Notamacropus eugenii: one gene and its partners. The protein of the gene in region 1 binds, or shares a complex with, the protein of each later gene. Links are inferred from orthologs where the notes say so. Each region holds a gene or a part of one and is shown in the gene's direction. Other genes may lie near its edges.

Region 1 (3,745 bases):
AGACATTCTCCTATGGACAGACAACTTACAGATAAACAAATAAGGATCAGGCCTAGATTTGGGATTTCACTAGTCTAGGGAACTCCTAGATCAGGAAACTCCCTTTACTTCTCCAAGTTTGGATCTTTTCTGCAACTTATGGAGAAGCGACTTGCCTTGCTCAGGGTCACACATCCAATATCGATCAGAGACAGAATTGGAACTCAGGTCTTTGAGGTTAGCTCTCTAGATACTGTTCCACAAGATAACGCATTTGATGAGGGGGCAAGCATTAAAAATGAGAAGTTGCTGGTAACATCCTTCCCCCTCCTCCCAACCCCCCAAAGCTACCACAAACCACAGGCTTCTAAAGTTGTGAAGTCCACACTGGTATGTAACTCTCCAGGGGGAGGGGGTGGGGAGAGGGGCACACGTGGCATTTGGGTTCTAGCTGCTTGTCTCCAGATTTCACTCCGGGCAGTGGCTGCCCTGTGAGTGAGTGAGTGAGTGAGTGAGTGAGTGAGTGAGTGGGTGAGTGGGGTGGGGTTGCTATCTGCTGAGGGTTTGAATGAATCTATGCGCCTTCTTAGCATCTCGGGAGTCACAGGACTCGGAGGTGTTGGAAGGGTGAAACACCTTTCCTTCTATGTTTCCAAGAGCACGAGGGGAAGTGGTCAGGGTGCAGGCAGCCTGGCAGAGCCAGGGAGCAGAGCAGTAGGAAGGAGAGAAGAAAGGAGGGAGTGAGAGAGGGAGGGAAGGAAGGCGGGAGCGAGAGCAGGAGGAAGGGAGGGCGGGAGCCAAGGCAGGGCAGGCGGGCGGCTCGCTGGGGCTGCAGTCCCCCAACGCCCACACAAGGAAGTGGTTGCTTCTCTTGGGGAGGGAAAGGGAAGTCAGATTACTTCAGAGAAACTCAGAACTTCTGTCTTCAGTCCCCAGAGCCGCTTGGGCTGAGGTTCATGTGGACTGCTCAGAGTCCATGAACCAGCTCGCCCAGGACTGAGCATCCCCCGGCCCCGGCTCATCCGCATCTGGCTTTTCTCTCCAAGGTAAGGAAGAGTGTGTGTGTGAGTGTGTGTACCTTTAAGGCTAGATCTCTGGGAGATGGGGGGTGTGTGTGTGTGTGTGTGTGTGTGTGTGTGTGTGTGTGTGTGTGTGTGTGTGTGTGTGTGTGTGTGTGTGTGTGTGTGTGTGTGTGTGTCTCAGAAATGCGCAGGCAATCATTTTTTCTTTCTGTTTAGTTTTTCTACTCATTAAGAATATTCTGCCTCAAAAAATATATATTCTGCCTGTTTTAAAGTGAGGGTGGAGTGACTTGGACAGCCCTTCCCATCTCTGCCCCTTAGGTTTCGAAGTAAGGATGTAGTCAGACGTTTCTCCAATGAGACTTCTTGTGAGTTTCTCCCTCTCCACCTCCCTGAAATATGCCTGGTTTCCTATTTCTGCTCTCCCACTCCCTGTCTCTACTGGAATATATAGGGTCTAGGACCAGATATTATGAATATGAATTTGGAATCCTCTTAGAAACTAAACCATTTCCCCACGAGCCTGCTGTCTTAGAGAACTCTACTTCTCTCTCTGCCTTAACACCTCCCCAGGGTCCTCATCTTCAAGCCAGCCACAGGTTAAGGAAAAGAAGATTCTTTGTACCTGTTTGCATTCCCAGAGATGAACACAGTGCCCGGCATGTGGTGTTTAATAAATGCTTGCTGCCTTTTGGAGATACAGAGAATGTTCTCTGCATCTTTTACAGAAGCCCAGAAAGCCAGAACCCTTAGACCATAGAGTTTTAGAATCTAAAGAGGCCTTGAAAGGAGAAACGATCATTCGAAAGGGATCTTGGAGCATAGAACACAGAATGTCAGAGCTGATAGGGCTGTAGAACATAAGACTGTCCGTGCTAGATGGGACATGAGAAATCATATGACCCAATCCCCGAGTTTCACAAATGAGGAAGTTGAAAAGCCCATGCATGGCGTTAGCAGCAAAGGTGGGTTCAAAAAAGGTGGGTTCAAAAATGTGTCTCCATTCCTAGGTCCCCAATTCCCCAGAATTGATCCTGGGGTTACCCTCCCACAGAGTTACCCTCTGGGTCATATCTCCCAGAGGACAGATCTGCCCACAGAAGAGGGGGGAAGGAAAAGAGGTTTTAGGAGGAAGCCTACTTACTGGCTGTGAACGTTAGGTAGAAACCTGTGTCCTTTCCCTAGTATTCAGCAGTTCTGGTAACTAATTATCACTGAGCCTAGAAGGCAAACCCTTGGACATGGGATCTGTTGATTGCTCCGTTTTCCAATTCACTCTTCATGCTTTTCAGTCTACTTGAACTTTGCACTGAGGGCAGAGATCTTGGGCAGGGAATAGACTGGCTAGAAGTCAGGAGACCTCTAGGGTAAAATAGAAACTCTTCTGGCTTTGAAAGCCCTTCAAAATCTGGCCCCAGTCTACCTTTTGAGTCCATTATACATTGCCCCCTTCCCATGCTTGGTGGGCTAATCAAACTAGCCCTGTTCTTTCTTACATAGTACCTTATTTCCAATCTTTGGGCCTCCATATCAGTGGTCCCCTGTGCCTGGAATACTTTCCTTCCTTTCCACCTCAAAGAGTCTTATATTTTCTTCAGGACTGAGATAAAACACTGCCTCCTACTTGTCATCTTTCTCTTTTCTATTTTTTTTGAAGGCAATAAGGGTTAAGTGACTTGCCCAGGGTCATATAGTAAGTAAGTATCTGAGGCCTGATTTGAAGTCAGGTCCTCCTGACTCCAGGACTGGTGCTCTATCCACTGCACCACCTAGCTACCCCTTGAAATCTTTCTCAGTCCCCTCCAAATGCTGACGCCCTTCCTCCCTAAGTTACCTTGTATTTATTTTAAAAGCTAACGATAATAATAGCTAACATTTGTATAGTATTTATTATGTTACAGGTGCTATGCTAAGCGCTTTAAATTACTATCTCATTTAATCCTCATTATAACCCTGGGAGGTAGATACTATTATTATCCCCATTTTATAGATGAGGAAACTAAGACATACAGAGTTTAAGTGACATGTCTAGGGTCACACAGCTAGAAGCATCTGAGGCCTGATTTGAAGATAATTTCCTATTGCCCTTATCCACTATGCCACAGCTGCCTGGTATTCATTCAATATATATTTATTAGTGTTGCACATTCTCTCTCCCAATAGAATGAAAACAGGGACAGTTTCATCTTGTCTTTGAATCCCCAGTGCCTAGAACAGTGCTTGGCACATGGTGGCCAATTAATAAATGCTTTTGGACTGATTGACTTGGACTTTAGTTTCCAGTTTGTACTAAATCTGTGACGTTGGCCAAGTAACTTAAACTCTTTTGACCTCAATTTCCTCTTTTGTGAAATGGAAGGATTGGTTAGGTGGTAGCTAAAGCCCCTTTAAGCTCTGAGATTATTGGAGTTTATGAGACCAGTTACTCTCTTCCTGAGTAATTCCCAAAAAGTTGAAATCTGGTCCAGAGGAAAGACCTCTGGATTTGTAGCCTGGGTTCAAAACTCAGTTCTGCCATTTAGAACCTGTTGACCTTGGAAAAGTTGCTTAATCCTTTGGGGCCTTGGTCTCCATGTCTGTAATATGAGAGGATTGGACGAGATGGTTCCTGAGATCCCTTAAAGCTCTTAAATCCATGTTCTTTAGGCCTGGCTGAGAGAGGACATTTCACATGCATAGGAGATTCATCCAAAGAGATGAATTCAGCTAAGAGGGACCTCTGGGTTCTGTGGGTCAATTTAGGC
Region 2 (3,745 bases), on another chromosome or scaffold:
CAACCTTGCGTGTCTTCATCTACTCTCCCATACAGTGACATCAGCCTCCCGGCTGTCTCCCACGCTGGACATCCCTTCTCCAGACTGGGGGCCTTTCCCCAGGCTGTGTCCCACGCCAGGTACACTCTTCCCATGTCTCCCTGCCAGCGTCTCTTGCTTCCTCCAAGCATCACCTAAAAGCGGACTCTCCCAAGACACCGTTCTTGGCCCTGTCGGGTGGTGCCCTCCTTCTGGGAGGACGCCTCGCTTTGTCCCGTATTCATCTGGCTTGTGCCCAGTCAGGCCCCCTGGAGAGCAGGGTCTGGGTTCAGCCTAGCACCCAGCGGGCGCTTAACGGCTGCTTGGGAACGGACCGACGGACTGACCCCCCCCATACACACCCTGTTTGCAACAGGTTCATCGCAGGGAGGTCACCCCCCCCCCCCCCCCCCATCTAGCCATCTTCCCACCTCCAGCCCGAATTCCCCAGTCAGGCTTTGAGTCTTGGGCCCGCGGGCCTCCTCCCTCCCGGACATTCCCCGGGGTCCTGGCCGGCCTGGGGGGGCTCCGCTTCACAGACGTGCGCCCCTGCAGTGACCTCCCTCCCGCGGCACGAGCCCACAGCCCCCCAGCGCGACGGGACCCTAGTTACAGCGCCGCGGCGGCGGCCGCTCCAGTCCGGCCCCGCCCCCACCCCGGGCCCCGAGGACCCCGAGCGGACCAGTGTAAGGACCGGTCCACAGAGTCTGTTTCTATGGTAACCCCCTGGGGATCACGTGGCCCGCGCGGACGACCAATCGTCTCTTACCTCTGCCTCCTCCAGCGGTTTTGCTTTCTGCCCTTCCTCTTTTTCTTTCCGCCCACCCCTTTCTCTCAACCCCGCCCCCTTTCTGCGTGGGAGGAGTCACTGGGGGGGGAGGGGAGTTTGCGCTTGCGTACAAAGAGAAGCGCGCTTCCTCCGCGGGCTGGCGCTGCCTTGGTGGAGGAGGGGTAGGCCCAAGCGCCGGAGTCCTCCCCTCCCCGAGACGCAGGCGCAGTAGCGGCCGGCGCAGCAGCGGGCGACGCCCCAGAGCGGAAGAGGGAAGTGAAGCCGCAGAGCGAGCCGAAGACGCCGGAGCCGGAGCTGGGGGCTCCGGGGACAGCGGCGGCGACGACCAGCACAGGGGCTAATTGCCACCCGGTCCGGCGTGGGGATGTCGAAGCACACGGTGTCGTCGGCCCGGTTCCGAAAGGTGGATGTGGATGAGTATGACGAGAACAAGTTCGTGGACGAGGAGGACGGAGGCGAGGGCCAGGCCGGGCCCGACGAGGGCGAGGTGGACTCGTGCCTGCGACAATATCCTTCCGCCCACCCGCGGGGCTCCGGGCCGCCTCCCCGCGCGTGCGTGGGCCAGACCTGTCACCGGCCTGGCCGCGGGGGACCCCCCTGCCCACGACCCGGGGCGCCCTTCCCCCTTCCACGCCAGCGCTCCATTGACCGGTCCGTGGGCCGGGGAGAAGACTGGGTGCTGTCCCCTGTGTAGAGCGAGCTTTTGAAGGGGAGGGGGATCAGTTCATTAGAAGGCTGCTTTTTCCTTTCATAATTTAAAATATTTTTCCGGGGGGGGTGGGGGCGGCAGAAAGTCTTTATCCCCGTTTATCTTCCCAAGATCTCCTTATTATCCCTCGTCCTGAAGGTTTGGTCCGGCACGGATTCCCTCCTTAGCCTAGGGTGGCCTCAAAAGGCACAGAAGCTGTCCAGAAAACCTCCCGGCCCTCTCTGGTGGAATTCTACCTGGCCAGAATTAGCCCTGAGAGAGGAAGATGGTAACTGGGAGGAATAGCGCACAACATTTGAGGGATTTTCAGATTGTTCCCATTTTTAGTTTAAATGAGGCCACCGTTCCCCAGCTTTTGCATATCTGAATATTCATAAGTGGGTTTGAATACATTTTGTAACATCTATGGGAGGATGTAGGTGTTGCAGCGACCAAATCTGGTTTTTAAAAATCCCTTTGTTTTACACTGTAATAATGGTTCTTGAAATTTTTTTTTAATCAGATGATTTTTTTGCCAGCTTTTGTTACAGGGAGAAATATGTAAAAAGTAAATATACTTGGTGGTACCGTTGATGTCTTAAGGCATTCTTAAACACAGCTCTAAATGTTTATAATCATCATTTTTCAGAATTTCTCTGCTTGTACGTAGAAATGCCTGTATGAGCTGTGGTTCTGCTCCGTTACCTTTCTGTGAAATATTTAATAATCATCCCCTACTCTGTATGAACCTAAACTACAGAAAGGAAGTAGCCTTGAAAATAATAAGAGGAGAAGGGATTCATTTGTTTTGGGTTTTTTGTTTTTTAATTCAGTCATTGATTCCTCTAAGCCAATAGGTTGTAAGAGGCACCATCCTTTGTTACTTACCATAAATTGTCTTCTGTTAACAAATTATCATTTGAAGACAGCCGGGGTAGGAGAAAGCCTGCTGGAGTAGGAAGACCCAGGTTCTAATTCCAGTTCTGAGCTATGTGGTCTTGGCCAAGTCAGTTCCCCTTTGGAGCTCAGTTTCCTCCACTGTAAAATGAAAGGGTTGAACTTGAACTCTCTTTAAGGACCCCTAGTGACCTAAACCTATGATTTTTAATGTCTGATTTGACATATCTCTAAATTATTTTTAAGTGATTTGACTATATTTTGATTAGGATGTGCATTTCATTCAAAATATTAGTAGATCAGTAGATAAAACTGCACTTACTAAAAAGCGTAAAGATAAGTCTTCTTTATTTTACTAGACCTAGGGAAAGATATACAGTCTTGGAACCGTCTATATGGTTCTAGAAATGGAGGAAACAAATGAACGCTGTGTGGTTTTCCTTTTAGGGGAACAACTCTACATTCTGACAGTCTGATTGGCTTTCAGTTCCTCATGATTGCTCAGTCGGTGGTGCTTTCAAGAAGGAGAGTTTCAGTCTTGTTGCTGTGGTCTGAATTTGGTGATTAACCTTTTGACAAGTCCAAGAAAAAGAAGAAAAGAAACATTTTCTAAATTAAACCATTAAATGAAACTTTTAATGAAAGAACAAAGTAGGAAATTATTTATAGTTTTGCCTCTTGTTAGGTTGGTTTTCTGGTGCTTCTTTAAAGAAGGTGGCCTTATTAGATATTCAGAGGTGATATTCAAATTAGCAGTGTATTTAGTACCCTCTTTAACTCAGTGTAAGGTTTTGGGAACAAGACAGCATTCTTTTCCATTAGAACTTCCTATTTTGGTAGATGACAGAAAAAGGTTTTCCTGTTAGGACTACACCATTTGGGGTTAACAATAGTTCTACATTACAGTAGTTCTGTTGTAACATTGGGGTTTCTGTAATCCTTGCTGTGTTACATCTTCAGGTGATTCTTTGCATGCTGGTGTTAATTTGAAAATCAAAACCTATCAAGCTTATATTAAGGATTTGGGGAACATATGTGAATGAATAAAGTAGGATCAAATGGTAGTGACACCTAGTGTTTTTTTTTTATCTTTACATGTATTTATAATATAGAAAGTATTATTTCATTGTAAATTTGCCTCCTGGAAGCTGTCACATTGAATTTTCTAATATGCATCCATCATAGTAGCACAGGTTATCCATAAGCTACAAAGGTACAATTCAAATAAAAATAATACAAGGGTAATAAAGGAATATATAAAGGGACAATATTTGATGAATAGTTTTCATGTAGTCAAGTGCTTGGTTTTCTTGTTATCCTTAACTTCTATTACAGGGAACATGACAGCTGCA
Region 3 (3,745 bases), on another chromosome or scaffold:
TAAACATTTCTTGGACAGCTCCTCTACTTATTGAGATCTGTGATTCATCAGTAGTAAAGGCAAGGCAAAGATGAGTGATAGTCCTGGCTCTCCAACAGCTGTAATTAAATGATCAAAAAAGAGAATATTTGTAAAGCACTTAGCAGTCAGGTTCTCCTAGGAACCTCACCATTCTGCAAAATCACATTATCAGCCTTGGTACCGACCTCATCAGTACCCTCTGCCTCTGGGACCCCTCTGATTAAAGGGGAAAGCTGTTCTCCATGCCTAGAATTCTCTCCCTAATTCCACTTCCTTACTTCTCCTTCCTTAAAGTTCCTTAGATTGTAAGCTCCTTGAGGGCAAGATTGTATTCTGCCTCTTTTTTATGCCTAGCATTTAGCACAATTTAGTACATAATGGGTGCTTAATAAATATTTAGTGATTGACTGAAATAATATATTGATTAACTACAAGAAGCCTTTCCCACTCTTCCCTCCTACTAGGGCCTTCCCTTTTTTTCTTTTTAGATTAAAGGGGTCATCCCTTGACAAAGAGGCCTATTCACTGAATGGGTATTAATTCACTCAAAGTGAGAACCTGAAAAGTCTTCGCCTAAAAGAGCCAGGGTCTCCCACTACATCCTGGGCCATCTCCAGTGAGGCTGGTGACCTGGCACAGCCCTCCCTCACTCAAAACCAGGTCAAGGGCAAGTCATGTCGTCATCTCCCTGACGTCATGGTCCTCTCTGAGAAGGAAGGCCGAACACAGGCCTTTCCTCTGGGGCTGTCTCCCCCTCCTCTCTTCGTAGCTGTCCGGCCAGTCTCCTGGGCAGACTGAGATCCGGGAGAGCAGGGGCCTTTTCTCCGCCTCCCTGACCAGTGCCCGCTGACTCCCTGGGCCAGCAGGGCACAATCACTCACAAATTCTCAGACGGCGAGGTCTGGGAGGGGCCTCAGGGACGCTCCAGCTGCCCTTTCTAGATTCGGGCAGAAGAAGACGGTTAGTCCTCAGCCCTTCTTACTTCCCTGGGCTGTTGCTGATGGGGTAAATCCTGACACACTCGCAGTAGGGCATCGGTTTGGAACGATTATTTACCACCACGCCCCTCCCCCGCCCCGCAGCCGCCAGCCGGCAGAAGCGGCCCGGGGTCAGCCTCGCCGGCGCAAAGCAGCCTCCTTGCCTCCCCAAGCCCAGCCCCGCCCCCTCGCTGACCGACATCCGCTTCCGGCCCTGGCCGGAAGTGGGTGTGCGTCGCGGCGCGGCGCGCGGCGCGGCGGAGTCGTCTCCGGAGCGTTGCCGGGGCCGTTGCCGGGCTCCGAGCGCTGTCCCTGCGGGGTCTTCTCGCTCGCGCTCTCGCGGTCTCTCGCTGTCTCCTCTCTCTCTCTCTCCCCCGGCCTTGCGCGGGAGGCGGAGGCGGCCGCCGCCATGGCTCGGAACACGCTGTCCTCGCGCTTCCGCAAGGTGGACATCGACGAGTTCGACGAGAACAAGTTCGTGGACGAGCAGGAGGAAGCGGCGGCGGCCACGGCGGCGGAGCCGGGCCCCGACTCGGACCCGGACCCCGGGGAGGTGGACAGCCTCCTGCGGCAATATCCTTCCGCCCCCCGCGCGGGCTCCGGGGAGGGAGAGGAGGAGGGGGCGCAGGCAGGGAGAGACCCAGAGGAGGGGGGGAGGGGTCGGGGAGGGGAGCGTGGCGAGGTGGCGAGCGCCGGTCACCCCCGCTCACCCCCAGAGCCTTCCAGGGCCGCCCCGCGATTCCGGACACCCTTCTCCGCCCGGCTGCATCCCACCGGTCCGGCGGTTCGGAGATTCCTCTCTCCCCATCCTAGTTCTGTGCTGCAGGTTTAGCTTTTCCGGTACATTGTAGAACCCGCTCAAGGTAGGAAACATTTATCGAGGGTCCCCCCCCCCACGCACCTCAGGGGGTCAGCACCTTGTTTTCCCCTCTGGTGATTTGCACCTCCATCCCTGCTTTGTGTAAAGAGATTGGCAGCCTCCGGGAACTTGCCCCCGAAGCCCTGGGACTCTGGCTTCTCCAAGTGTTCTGATTTCCCCATCCCACCGGCCTGGGACTGAATACAGGTGTGAGGGCCGGAGGGATGGGCCAAGTTGGGAAAAATGTGGAGTGGTTGGTTTTACCTGTTCAGAAATGGAAGGGGTGGGTGTCTTTAACTGCATGGGACCCCACCCTACGGAGTGGAGATGTAGGGGGGGAAATGGGGCAGGAAATGGGGCCCTTCTCCTCAGCCGGTCTGGGGAGTGCCCAAGGTGATCCAGTGCTGAGTAATGGATGGGGTCAGAGCAGTTCCAGATACAGATCTGCATTCATTAACCGTGCTTCATACCCTCATGCTGTGACAGGGATCGAGCCTTGTTAAAAATAGGTGTGCGGTGGGGGAGGGGAAGTGAGGGAAGCAGTTTTAGAATACAAGAAGGCCCCGTGGATTTTTTACCCCTGCCTGGGAATAGAAAGGAAAGCTGGAAGGGCTAGTGCTGGTTCCCACTGTCTGAAATTGTGACTTTCTTCTTTATTTCCCCAGAAGTACTTTTTTTTCTCCTGCCTAGAATGTTTGGCTTCTAAAAATAGCCTCATCTCATTCTCTGTTAGTATATTTTTGCTATTTCAACAGCTTTTAGTGTTCCTTGTTTGGCATATCTTTTCTCCATATTGTTTCCCTTTGAGGTTGGAAGCAGTTTTAGAGATTTTAAAAAGTGAGACAGCTTCTCATAAAGGCCAAAAATAGGCTCCCTAAACTCTGGAAGTGGTCTTATTTCTGGCTATGGAAGCAAAATCTTTATAAGCAGGAAGGTTATCAAGTGGCGCTTAGCTGTTCATGACTTCAGAAAGAAGAATATACTTCATTTTATTGATGGCTATAGTCAGCTATGTCTCTCTGGTACAACTTCTAATAAAGAAGTTTGACACATAATGTGCAGCTTTTATTTACCCAAAGATCCTTTAATTGGTTGACTCAGTCTCAGAAAATAAGGACTACTCCAGGGAGCAGTCTCAAGTGGAGGAAATTTAACAGCTCCGTTGAACAGCTCCCTGTTTTATGTCTGAGGTTTACAACAACCCTGTGAGGACAATAATGCAAACATTATCACTTTGGTCTGACTGTACTTTTTCTTTTTTTGATCTGATCATACTTTTCTCTCCTTAAAGCTGACTTGTTAAAAAAAAAATCATAACTATGGCTTGCAGTTGGTGTTTTTTTAATGCATCTCTATGCATCACAGGGCCTGTGATTTCACTGCTGTAGGGAATTCTCAGAAAACTCACTCTTTGCATGGCTACATCATCTCTGCAACTTAGTGTCTTAGAAAGTTGCCTAGAGCACTGAGAGGGCCAAGAGTTGCCCAGGATCACAGAGCCCTTGTGAGTCAGAGGTCTTGGCTTTAAGGTCAGTTCCCTGTCTATTATGCCTTGCTATTTCTAATTTTAATTGCATACTTTTCTTTTGTAAAAAAAAATTTGAGGTGTTAGTAGAAAGAACTCTGTACTTGAAGTCAAAAGACCTGGGTTTGAATTCAGTTTCTGCTTCTTATTGTCTTTGTGACCTTGGAAAAGCAACTTAGCCTCTTTGGGTCTCAAATTTCTGTAAAATATGGCTAATACTATAGTCAGTGGAATGTAGCCTGCATTCTTCAAATGAAACAATGGATCATAGGAAGTCACAGGATTTTGAAGAGACTTGACATCTAGTCTTAAGGTTCTCAAACCTTTTGATCTCAGACACCCTTATTACTCTTATAAATTATT

The links. Proteins that work in one complex are often made in the same cells at the same time.
Region 2: ARPC1B (region 1) and ARPC5 share a complex: the UniProt entries of both Homo sapiens proteins name them as parts of the arp2/3 complex. The link is inferred for Notamacropus eugenii from reciprocal best matches to the Homo sapiens genes ARPC1B and ARPC5.
Region 3: the proteins of ARPC1B (region 1) and ARPC5L are in contact, whole or in part, in a cryo-EM structure (PDB 6YW6), measured with the Homo sapiens proteins. The link is inferred for Notamacropus eugenii from reciprocal best matches to the Homo sapiens genes ARPC1B and ARPC5L. Residues at the interface, in NP_005711.1 of Homo sapiens: Arg118, Lys138, Arg142, Phe164, Ser201, Gly203, Trp204, His222, Asp223, Ser224, Thr225, Leu240, Ala241, Ser242, Glu243, Thr244, Leu245, Pro246, Phe281; in NP_112240.1 of Homo sapiens: Asn21, Lys22, Arg102, Gly139, Leu140, Gly141, Ile144, Arg145, Thr148, Arg150, Lys151.

What each region holds. Positions count from the first base shown.
Region 1 is NC_092874.1:379,899,797-379,903,541, reverse strand, and holds the start of ARPC1B (actin-related protein 2/3 complex subunit 1B), read left to right. Parts: upstream 1-767; 5' UTR 768-1,025; intron 1,026-3,745. UniProt on the Homo sapiens protein: Component of the Arp2/3 complex, a multiprotein complex that mediates actin polymerization upon stimulation by nucleation-promoting factor (NPF).
Region 2 is NC_092873.1:461,445,822-461,449,566, forward strand, and holds the start of ARPC5 (actin-related protein 2/3 complex subunit 5), read left to right. Parts: upstream 1-1,037; 5' UTR 1,038-1,172; coding exon 1,173-1,315; intron 1,316-2,840; coding exon of another isoform or gene 2,841-2,869; exon of another isoform or gene 2,870-3,457; intron 3,458-3,726; coding exon 3,727-3,745. Other genes in the region: APOBEC4 (putative C->U-editing enzyme APOBEC-4), read left to right, coding at 36-316. UniProt on the Homo sapiens protein: Component of the Arp2/3 complex, a multiprotein complex that mediates actin polymerization upon stimulation by nucleation-promoting factor (NPF).
Region 3 is NC_092872.1:447,142,883-447,146,627, forward strand, and holds the start of ARPC5L (actin-related protein 2/3 complex subunit 5-like protein), read left to right. Parts: upstream 1-1,211; 5' UTR 1,212-1,407; coding exon 1,408-1,571; intron 1,572-1,899; exon of another isoform or gene 1,900-2,002; intron 2,003-3,745. UniProt on the Homo sapiens protein: May function as component of the Arp2/3 complex which is involved in regulation of actin polymerization and together with an activating nucleation-promoting factor (NPF) mediates the formation of branched actin networks.